Saccharomyces cerevisiae S288C: one gene and its partner. The protein of the gene in region 1 purifies or fractionates together with the protein of each later gene. This does not show direct contact. Each region holds a gene or a part of one and is shown on either strand. Other genes may lie near its edges.

Region 1 (5,586 bases):
CTCATTTTCCCTTATAGCATCAACGGCTCTTTTGATTTCTTGTTCCATATATTTCTTCTCAGTATCCCTTGATACACTTACCCTTTCTTCTTTCTCGATCTCGTCTTGTACATTGTCTGTTTTAACGAAAGCGTCTTTTAACTTTGATAATGTTTCACCTTGGGCCATCAAACTTCCCTTTAAAGTTTCAATGTCTTTTTCCAGTGTTTCGATTTGGGAAAACTTCAAATTGTTTTCAACTTCTAGTTCATGCGACCTATTTAAGTTTTCATTATTGGTTCGCAATACGGTTTCATATTCTTTTATAATTTTCTCATCTTCATTTGAGAAAAATTTCAGATGATCATTTTGCAAATCATCAAGGCAAGAATAATCATCCAGCTCCTGTTTCTGAACGCAAATATCCATATACACTTCTCCCATTGATTGAATCAGTTTGTGTGTTATGATTCCACTTGATAAGTGGTAATTTACATTCGAGGAGTTGTCAGCTGTAGTAATACCTGTTAGTTGTGTCATGTCTTGTTTTAAAGGATTTGTATAATAATCGTTCTTTAATCTTTTGGTAGAGTAAAAACTTGGAGTAATATTATCCTCAATTCCGGCAACAGTTGAAGATGCTGCCTTATTAGCACCATGGCGTCCTCTTTTTTTGGAACAGTTGGAAAAAGCATCCTCTAGTTGATCATCTGACTTTTTGAAATGTACTTCCGTTAACAAAGACCTTTCTACATCCATGGAAGTATATTGTTTTAAAGGGTAAATATCTGGTAATGGCCACGGTACTGTTGGGTTTTCCAACCATTCTACTAAATAATGCAGCTTTTGTGAATAAATGGGCCTCAAATCAGGTGGAAGTGTGCCCAGTCGATCTCTTAAAATTACCATAGCTGCGGTAACGTTCTCCAAGTATTCTCTACTGTTCTTGTCAAATTTTTTACCAAAGAATAACCTACAATGATCAATTGAATTAATGGCCACTAGCCTAACAATTGGAGCATATCTTTCTAAACCCTTCCTCTCCCTCTTATATTGCAACAAATATTGAATATCTTTTTGACTTGTATCCACTGTAGTATCTAAGCAGATCAGCATGTCGAATCGAGCCTTGGATTTTATCGGATATTTTGTGAAATTAATTCCTTCAGAAGAAAACAAATGAACTGTACACGAGAAGTCATTTGCCTTTTGTTTTGACTTGATAGAATGACCGTCATATCTTTTGATATGCACCTTATTTCCCAATAGTAAGGCTTCCAGTAAGTCCATTGTTCTCCCAGGTCTACAAACAATGGCCGTTTCAGTTTCATATTCTTGAACAAGATTTATGAGATCTCTCAAAACGCTGAACTTTCCACTATTTTCCGCTAAATGTGCAGGAACATCACGAGTTATTAACGATTTAGGCATATAATGATCTATTAGTAGGTATGGATGGGTTGCTACCAGTGAACCATTTAAACACATGGTCTTCATAGATTCGAGAATGACGTCCTCTTTGTAGTGTGACGTTTCGAAGTATCTCAAGATATCTGAGTAGTGTAATGATACTATTTGATCCGTGAGTTCTTTTTGATAAAGCGACATTGTAGTTGGCAGCCAATAATCACCGGAAGTATTTCCTGAGATTCCCAGAGTAGTAGCATCAACAATTGTAGGTATTGGTTTCGTGTCTAAAATGCGTAGTAAATCCATACTAAAGGGCAATTAGTTTGTGCTTCTAACTTTCCTTTTTATCATTTTTATAGTCTAAAGTATTTCTTCTCTCTATTGTCTTTAATTGAAACTTTGGAAAACCGCGGTGTTATGGATACTAGAACACTAATGTTATTTTTTGCAGTTATCAATTAAAGTAAAAGAAGAACAAACTGAGTGGATTAAATCAGTAACTATGGATATGAAAGTAGAAAAATTAAGTGAAGATGAAATTGCACTGTATGATAGACAGATTCGTCTATGGGGAATGACAGCACAGGCCAATATGAGATCAGCAAAAGTATTGCTGATCAATCTTGGAGCAATTGGTTCTGAAATTACCAAAAGTATCGTCCTTAGTGGTATAGGGCATTTAACCATATTGGATGGACACATGGTGACTGAAGAAGATTTAGGATCCCAGTTCTTCATAGGCTCTGAAGATGTTGGCCAATGGAAGATTGATGCAACAAAAGAGAGAATTCAAGACTTGAACCCCCGTATAGAGTTGAACTTTGATAAGCAGGATTTGCAAGAAAAGGACGAAGAGTTCTTTCAGCAGTTTGATTTAGTCGTGGCTACAGAAATGCAGATTGATGAAGCAATCAAAATTAACACATTAACTCGAAAACTAAACATTCCATTATATGTTGCTGGTTCTAATGGATTGTTCGCTTATGTTTTTATTGATTTGATTGAATTCATTTCAGAGGATGAAAAATTGCAAAGTGTAAGACCTACCACCGTTGGTCCCATTTCAAGCAATAGGAGCATTATAGAAGTTACTACTAGAAAAGATGAAGAAGATGAAAAAAAAACATATGAACGAATCAAGACCAAGAACTGCTATAGGCCACTGAACGAAGTTTTAAGCACAGCAACATTAAAGGAAAAAATGACGCAAAGACAGTTAAAAAGAGTCACTAGTATCTTGCCGTTAACCCTGTCCTTATTGCAATATGGTCTCAACCAAAAGGGCAAGGCCATAAGCTTTGAACAAATGAAAAGAGATGCGGCCGTATGGTGTGAAAATCTGGGTGTACCAGCAACAGTGGTAAAGGACGATTACATACAACAGTTTATCAAACAGAAAGGTATCGAGTTTGCTCCTGTCGCGGCCATTATAGGGGGTGCTGTAGCGCAGGATGTCATTAACATTCTAGGTAAAAGGCTATCTCCATTAAATAATTTCATTGTTTTTGATGGTATTACATTAGACATGCCACTTTTTGAGTTTTAGATATATACATACCTACTATACTGTAGTTTCAGCCAAAAAAAATAATAAAAAAAGCATAATTGGAGGCAGTAAAGCATTATAGTCATACACAATAATAATAATAATAATAATAATAATAATAATAATAATAGTAGTAGTAGTAATGGTAATAAAAAAGTTAGAAAAGAAATTAGATACAGATATTCGTAGTAAAGGCCACGCAGTACAAAAAAGACGGAGAATATATTATATAAAATCCTCTACTCTTTTCGTTCAGGTCCAAAGGAAAATTCTTGCACGCGCAATGGACTGAACAGGCCTTATATTATACAAAAAGCCTAATAACGATCAAATAAAACAAAAGAAAGCCGTTGCTCCTATGCCTGACCAGAGACGGCTACTTGTTGTAAGTGAGTCATGAAATTTTGTAAGGAAACATCATCTGTTAAGACAATTGTAGATCCTCCGCGCGCCATGTCTTGATAGTTATCGGAAGGATTCAATTTAGATAACAAGAATCTGGCTTGAGAACCACCGGCTTCAGTATCAATGAATCTTGGTAGCGGGAACCTATCTACTAACAATTCTGCGGCTTCTAATTTTGGCTCTTCAAGAAGAGCTTTGAAATCTGCGTACTGTGGATCGTCTTGGTAACCGGCTTTTCTCCATTGAGCGATTTGCTCACCGTGGTATATTAAGATGAAGAAAAATGTATCTAATAATAGAATGGTATTGGGTTTGACGGAGATAGAGTCTAATAATACCGGTTGTGGATCGTCCTCCATTGAGAAAGAAGTTAGAGTTGGTTGAATCATGATTAAAGAATTAGTCGTATCCTCTCTTGTGAAAATATGTCTATAAAATGCAGTTTCATCCGGAGAATTGTTAAAGACACTTAAGAATTGGGATCTTCTTAAATAATAGGTAAATTGAGGATACAGTGAGAAATTTGGAGCCAACCTGAAAGATTGAGGATCATCTTTATTATAGTCGGCGTACTTTTGACATAGCTTAATCAAAGTTCTGTCTAACCATCTAATAACATCTGCACCATCATCGGTTTCAGCCTTGTGAACAGCAATACGAGCCATCAAAACGGCAGCAGCTTCTTGATCGAAAGAAGCTGCAATGGCAGGAGTACCGAAGGGCAAAAGCTGGTTTGCGACCGTGGTGACTCTGATACGGTTGGTACCAGAGGAGTGTTGATAAGTAGTGATGAATTGAGTATATGCTAGATGAGGTCTATCTGCTGAACCAGGGGCAGACATCATTGGGTTAGAATTAGCCGCAGTGTTTGCAATTTCAAAGAAAATCGCATACGAGTGATAAGGCGATAAGGAAGCCATCTTCCAGGTGGACGTTGCACCTATACCGATTTCAGATTCACTGATGTTGTTAGCGTCTGTCTTCTTTACAGCAGAAGCATGCCCAATCAAACCTTGTACCTTCAAGTCTTTACTTGTCTTGACTGCCATATTACCATTGAAAGCCATCTTCAAATACCCTTCTTCATCCTTGGCAAACAATCTCAAGTATGATTGCTTAAAAATCGCGGTAGAGAAGGCATCGGTTAGCAACAACACACCTCCAGTAGAGTCGGTCAACTGTTTCATTTCAGACATACCGATTTGATCGTAACAACCGGCAAAAATATCAACAGTGTGTCCATTGGCGGCAACTCTTTGTGCAATCTGGTTGTAAAACTTACAGGCCTTCTTGTAATGTTGCGCGTGATCAGAATCGATGTCGTGGTGGGATCTTAAGGGATCTTTTAACTCTGAGTTAACAATCAAACCTGGGGCCACGGTGCCTGGACCGGAGGCGAAAAGAATGATTCTTGCTGGGATGTTCTTATAGCAGCCCTGTAAAAGCAAAGATGCAATGTTCAAAGCGGAACCTGTGGCCCTTAATGGCCTATGACCCGCTGGAACAGACCATTGGTCTGGAGACAGATTTTCCAGTAATTGATTCAGTTTGAACTCGACCTGTTCCAAGGGCAGGAAGAACCTATTCAAAGAGAAGGGCGTAACTTTGTTCATGGCGTTCGGTAGATGAGATGCAGCACCGCCGGGGCCGGTAGGCTTTTGGCCGGTCAACATTTCCGTCAACGCTTCGAGCTGGTACTCCCTGTCTCCTCTGAACACGTTGCACCTGTCAATAGTTTCGCTGGACAGATCGTGCAATTGAACAACGTTTCCGTAAGTGATCAACCCAATCAGCGCGTTGGGAGGTAATAGAGACAAAGAAGTGATGATAGACTCCTTTAGCGAATCGAGGTTCTCGGTTTCCGAAGTCAAATCCACAACAAAGAAGAAAATGGGAGGAACGGTAACGGGCTTATTGGTGATGTACTCAATGGTGGTGGACTGTAACTCTAGCGGCATATTCTCCTGTGACAAGTTGGTGTACTGTGGAGGTAAATGGTTCCTGGAGTTACAGATGGGACAACTCCAGGACGAATTGCGCGGATCAATCACACAGTAAGGATTTAGAATCGACTTACAGTGTGGACCGGAACACACAACTGGATTGTATGGGGCAACGTTCAATTCGTCATACTCCTTCAAAGGTGTGTACAAACAGCCCACAGGGACGACGTTGCTGTTAGCGTCGCTTCTAGTAGAGGGAAACACGTTCCAGGTGAAACGGACCCCGTTGATGTCTTCATTAGT
Region 2 (6,675 bases), on another chromosome or scaffold:
TACTAACCGGTGGGGAAATCTTCGGCGAAATTGTTAGGTTGACCTATTTCAGTGAAGATTTATCAAGGCATGTAATCAAACAATTAGCACTGGCTGTTAAACATATGCATTCACTAGGTGTAGTGCATCGTGATATAAAACCTGAGAATCTTCTTTTTGAACCGATTGAATTCACACGCTCTATAAAACCAAAATTGAGGAAATCGGATGATCCGCAAACAAAGGCAGACGAGGGAATTTTCACACCAGGAGTTGGTGGTGGTGGAATTGGTATAGTAAAACTAGCTGATTTTGGTTTGTCTAAACAAATATTTTCCAAGAACACCAAGACTCCTTGTGGTACAGTCGGTTACACTGCCCCTGAAGTTGTCAAAGATGAGCATTATTCTATGAAAGTGGATATGTGGGGGATTGGTTGCGTTTTGTACACAATGTTATGTGGGTTCCCGCCATTCTATGATGAGAAAATTGACACTTTAACTGAAAAAATATCAAGGGGTGAGTATACCTTTCTGAAACCTTGGTGGGATGAAATCAGCGCCGGTGCCAAGAATGCCGTGGCTAAGCTATTAGAACTAGAGCCGTCTAAAAGATACGACATTGACCAGTTTTTGGACGACCCATGGTTAAATACATTCGATTGTTTACCAAAGGAGGGCGAATCTTCACAAAAGAAAGCAGGTACTTCCGAAAGACGCCATCCGCATAAGAAACAATTCCAACTATTTCAAAGAGACTCCTCGCTACTGTTTTCACCAGCTGCTGTTGCTATGCGTGACGCCTTTGATATTGGTAATGCTGTGAAACGTACCGAAGAAGACCGTATGGGAACACGTGGAGGATTAGGCTCGCTTGCTGAGGACGAAGAATTGGAAGATAGTTACAGTGGCGCCCAAGGCGATGAACAGCTGGAACAAAATATGTTCCAATTAACGCTGGATACGTCCACGATTCTGCAAAGAAGAAAAAAAGTTCAAGAAAATGACGTAGGGCCTACAATTCCAATAAGCGCCACTATCAGGGAATAGCAACTTTCCCTTCTGTTTCAATCTTTTTACCTATTCCTTTTTAAAAGATATATATACATTAAACTCCTTCTACAAGTATATATTTTATACATATCTACAGGGCGTATATATACATAACATTTTAAGATAAGCAAGTGAATGTTGATTCCCGTTTCTTAGTCAACACTTCTTTCTATTTTACCCGGTCGTTACCCTATTAAAAAAACAACTTACAATCATTGTTCGCCCCTTCCATACTTACTGCCACTCGCAAAAGGGCCCAACCAGGGCAATTACGTATCAAAAAATCATGACAGGCTGGGTAATAAATATTCGTGAAGAAAGAAGAAATTAAAAAAAGAAACGAAGAAGCAAAAAAAAGAAAAGACTCCGTTTAATCACTTTCAACCGCGGTTTATCCGGCCCCACCCATGCATAACCCTAAATTATTAGATCACTTAGCACGTGAAAAAGAAACGTTTTTAATGTTTTTTTTTTTTTTTTCTTTTTCTTTTTTTGCGTTGGTGAAAATTTTTTCGCTTCCTCGAGTATAATTATCTCATCTCATCTTTCATATAAGATAAGAAGTTTTATAAAAACCTTTTGCATCAAAATTTTGTAGAATATCTCTTTTTCTTACGCTCTCTTTCTTTCCTTAATTGTTTTCTAAAGAACCGTGTATTTTTCTAGTTCGAATCCATCGATAACATTAAAAGATGTCTGATTCCCAGCAATCCATTAAGGTTCTAGAAGAACTATTCCAGAAGTTATCTGTTGCCACTGCTGACAACAGACACGAAATCGCTTCTGAAGTCGCTTCTTTCTTGAATGGTAACATCATTGAACATGATGTTCCAGAACACTTCTTCGGTGAATTGGCCAAGGGTATCAAGGACAAGAAGACCGCTGCTAACGCCATGCAAGCTGTTGCTCACATTGCTAACCAATCTAACTTGTCTCCATCTGTTGAACCATACATCGTCCAATTGGTTCCAGCTATCTGTACCAACGCAGGTAACAAGGACAAAGAAATTCAATCTGTTGCTTCCGAAACTTTGATTTCCATCGTTAACGCTGTTAACCCAGTTGCCATCAAAGCTTTGTTGCCACATTTGACTAACGCTATTGTCGAAACTAACAAATGGCAAGAAAAGATTGCTATTTTGGCAGCTATCTCTGCTATGGTCGATGCTGCTAAGGATCAAGTTGCCCTAAGAATGCCAGAATTGATTCCAGTCTTGTCTGAAACCATGTGGGACACCAAGAAGGAAGTCAAGGCTGCTGCTACTGCCGCCATGACCAAGGCTACCGAAACTGTTGACAACAAGGATATTGAACGTTTCATTCCAAGTTTGATTCAATGTATTGCTGACCCAACTGAAGTTCCAGAAACCGTTCATTTGTTAGGTGCTACTACTTTCGTTGCTGAAGTTACTCCAGCTACTTTGTCCATCATGGTCCCATTGTTGTCCAGAGGTTTGAACGAAAGAGAAACCGGTATCAAGCGTAAGTCTGCTGTTATTATTGACAACATGTGTAAGTTGGTCGAAGACCCACAAGTTATTGCTCCTTTCTTGGGTAAATTGTTGCCAGGTTTGAAGAGTAACTTTGCTACCATTGCTGACCCAGAAGCCAGAGAAGTTACTTTGAGAGCTTTGAAGACTTTGAGAAGAGTTGGTAACGTTGGTGAAGACGATGCTATTCCAGAAGTTTCTCACGCTGGTGACGTTTCTACTACTTTGCAAGTCGTTAACGAATTGTTGAAGGACGAAACCGTTGCTCCAAGATTTAAGATTGTCGTCGAGTACATTGCCGCCATTGGTGCTGATTTGATCGATGAAAGAATCATTGACCAACAAGCTTGGTTCACCCACATCACCCCATACATGACTATCTTCTTGCACGAAAAGAAGGCCAAGGACATCTTGGACGAATTCAGAAAGAGAGCTGTCGACAACATTCCAGTTGGTCCAAACTTCGACGACGAAGAAGACGAAGGTGAAGACTTATGTAACTGTGAATTCTCTTTGGCTTATGGTGCTAAAATCTTGTTGAACAAGACCCAATTAAGATTGAAGAGAGCCAGAAGATATGGTATCTGTGGTCCAAACGGTTGTGGTAAGTCCACTTTAATGAGAGCTATTGCCAACGGTCAAGTTGATGGTTTCCCAACCCAAGAAGAATGTAGAACCGTCTACGTCGAACACGACATTGATGGTACTCACTCTGACACTTCCGTCTTGGATTTCGTTTTCGAATCTGGTGTTGGTACTAAAGAAGCTATCAAGGACAAATTGATTGAATTCGGTTTCACCGATGAAATGATTGCTATGCCAATCTCTGCTTTGTCTGGTGGTTGGAAGATGAAGTTGGCTCTAGCTAGAGCTGTGTTGAGAAATGCTGATATCTTGTTGTTAGATGAACCAACTAACCATTTGGATACCGTCAACGTTGCTTGGTTAGTTAACTACTTGAACACCTGTGGTATCACTTCTATCACTATTTCTCACGACTCCGTTTTCTTAGATAACGTCTGTGAATATATTATTAACTACGAAGGTTTGAAGTTGAGAAAGTACAAGGGTAACTTTACCGAATTCGTTAAGAAGTGTCCAGCTGCTAAGGCTTACGAAGAATTATCCAACACTGATTTGGAATTCAAGTTCCCAGAACCAGGTTACTTGGAAGGTGTTAAGACTAAGCAAAAGGCTATTGTCAAGGTTACCAACATGGAATTCCAATATCCAGGTACCTCTAAGCCACAAATCACTGACATTAACTTCCAATGTTCTTTGTCTTCCAGAATTGCTGTCATTGGTCCAAATGGTGCTGGTAAGTCTACTTTGATTAACGTCTTGACTGGTGAACTATTACCAACCTCTGGTGAAGTCTACACCCACGAAAATTGTCGTATCGCTTACATTAAGCAACACGCTTTTGCTCATATCGAATCTCATTTGGACAAGACTCCATCTGAATATATCCAATGGAGATTCCAAACCGGTGAAGATAGAGAAACCATGGACAGAGCTAACAGACAAATCAACGAAAACGATGCTGAAGCTATGAACAAGATCTTCAAGATTGAAGGTACCCCTAGAAGAATTGCCGGTATCCACTCCAGAAGAAAGTTCAAGAACACTTACGAATATGAATGTTCTTTCTTATTGGGTGAAAACATTGGTATGAAATCTGAAAGATGGGTTCCAATGATGTCCGTCGACAACGCTTGGATTCCAAGAGGTGAATTGGTTGAATCTCACTCTAAGATGGTTGCTGAAGTTGATATGAAGGAAGCTTTGGCTTCTGGTCAATTCCGTCCATTAACCAGAAAAGAAATTGAAGAACATTGTTCCATGTTGGGTTTGGACCCAGAAATTGTTTCTCACTCCAGAATTAGAGGTTTGTCTGGTGGTCAAAAGGTTAAGTTGGTCTTAGCTGCCGGTACATGGCAAAGACCTCACTTGATTGTCTTAGATGAACCTACCAACTATCTGGACAGAGATTCTTTGGGTGCTTTGTCTAAGGCTTTGAAGGAATTTGAAGGTGGTGTTATTATCATTACTCACTCTGCTGAATTCACAAAGAACTTGACTGAAGAAGTCTGGGCCGTCAAGGACGGTAGAATGACTCCATCTGGTCACAACTGGGTTAGTGGTCAAGGTGCTGGTCCAAGAATCGAAAAGAAGGAAGACGAAGAAGATAAATTCGATGCTATGGGTAACAAGATTGCCGGTGGTAAGAAGAAGAAGAAGTTGTCTTCTGCGGAATTGAGAAAGAAGAAGAAGGAAAGAATGAAGAAGAAGAAGGAATTGGGTGATGCTTACGTTTCTTCTGACGAAGAATTCTAATCTTTTTGATCACTGCTTTCACAGTTTTCTTTAAGATTTTTATTGATCAATAATTTATGTATATTTTAATTTCTATGTTTTTGTAATATTGTTTATTTTGGTAAAATATAGACGCAACTTCCTTATTATAAAGAAAGGCATTATTTAAAAGAAAAAGCGTTCCATTAGTCAGACATCTTTTTTTTTCATACATTCTTAAGCTCAGGCAAATTGAGCATTGCCTCATACCCTTTTCGGTAAGAGGGTAACGAAAATATTTTTTTGGAAGAATAAAAATAGGTGACGGATCATAGACTAGGAAGCTTTAAAACATGATTGAGCGTAATATTATATTCCTTCTAGAAAAGATAAAAGAGCCAAGACCTAAAATTTTTTCATCCCTGTTCTATTAAAATTGTGGAAATGAGGTTTTTGAGGGGATTTGTATTTTCTTTGGCTTTCACTCTATATAAAGTAACTGCCACGGCAGAAATAGGATCTGAAATTAATGTGGAAAATGAGGCACCACCTGATGGTTTATCCTGGGAGGAGTGGCATATGGACCATGAGCATCAGCTAAAAGATTACACTCCAGAGACTTTCTTCGCGTTACATGATATCAAGAAGAAAGGATTTTTAGATGAAAACGATATTCTATCTCTCTACGGGTTGAACCGTGAAGAAATTGTGGGGGCTGGTGATGGTATGGGACAACACGATGAATCTGAGAAAATTGACAATGAAATGGCTAAGCGTGTTGTTAGCCTTATTATGAGGTTATTGGATGTTGATGATAATACCAAAATCACCAAGGAGGAATATCTACAATTTGCTAAGAGAGGAAACAAGTTCCCTGACCTTGGCGTTGGTGTAGGTCACCACTCCGATTTTGAGCTAGAATATGAAATTCATCACTGGAATAAGTTTCATAAGGACAAAGATCCAGACGTTAAAGTCGTTCACAAAGAAGACATAGAACATGAATTGCTTCATCATGAACATGAAATTGAACATGAAGAAGAAATTCAAAGAGGCGCTTCTAGAGCTACTGTAATAACTGATGACGAACTAGAGTCTAGAATAGAGCTGAAAAATATTCCCGAGAAATTCAAAAATGGAATTTTTTAATGGACTTGGTCAAGATGAATAGTTGAGACTGAGAAAATATTCAAGACACTATGTATGTAGTCAATTAGCATGTAGTAAGTAATCAAAGCACTTAAAATATATTTTTACCATCGCATCGTTGTGATGCCTCTCCTTTGTGATTAACTATCTACTTTAAACGTTCTATTTTCTATGTTCTAATTACGTATGTATTGGTCTTTTCTCTCCGATGGTAACAAGAAGCGTTTCGGGAAACAGTGGCACCTCCTTGTCCCTTAAATGTCGAACTTTAACAGTATAAGTACAAAGTGAAAAAAAAAAAAAAATGGAAATATCTATGATAGTGATATGATAGAAGAGCTATTTGAATGCTATGTTGTCATATTTAGCCTTACAAAAGGGAAAAGGCAAACACAGTCTTTTGTTATTACTATAGGAAAGATAGAATTGATATTAAAACAGTATGAAGTTATTGCATTTATATGAAGCGAGCTTGAAGAGAAGGCCCAAAACTACGAATGCGATAATGACAGGTGCGCTATTTGGAATTGGTGATGTTTCTGCTCAATTGTTGTTTCCAACATCCAAAGTAAACAAGGGTTATGATTATAAAAGGACAGCTAGGGCTGTCATCTATGGTTCTTTAATTTTCTCCTTTATAGGTGACAAGTGGTACAAGATCTTGAACAACAAGATTTATATGCGTAACAGACCTCAGTACCACTGGTCTA

What was found. Proteins that work in one complex are often made in the same cells at the same time.
Region 2: the proteins of AOS1 (region 1) and YEF3 purify together in Saccharomyces cerevisiae (affinity purification with mass spectrometry, with the first as the bait; 2 studies listed by BioGRID). This does not show direct contact.

What each region holds. Positions count from the first base shown.
Region 1 is NC_001148.4:894,070-899,655, forward strand, and holds AOS1 (E1 ubiquitin-activating protein AOS1), read left to right. Parts: upstream 1-1,891; coding exon 1,892-2,935; downstream 2,936-5,586. Other genes in the region: HDA3 (Hda3p), read right to left, coding at 1-1,695; GTPase-activating protein SEC23, read right to left, coding at 3,292-5,586. UniProt on the Saccharomyces cerevisiae protein: Could be involved in a ubiquitin-related process important for DNA damage tolerance.
Region 2 is NC_001144.5:635,057-641,731, forward strand, and holds YEF3 (translation elongation factor EF-3), read left to right. Parts: upstream 1-1,723; coding exon 1,724-4,858; downstream 4,859-6,675. Other genes in the region: serine/threonine protein kinase RCK2, read left to right, coding at 1-1,028; nucleobindin SSP120, read left to right, coding at 5,261-5,965; SYM1 (ethanol metabolism protein), read left to right, coding at 6,408-6,675. UniProt on the Saccharomyces cerevisiae protein: Ribosome-dependent ATPase that functions in cytoplasmic translation elongation. Required for the ATP-dependent release of deacylated tRNA from the ribosomal E-site during protein biosynthesis.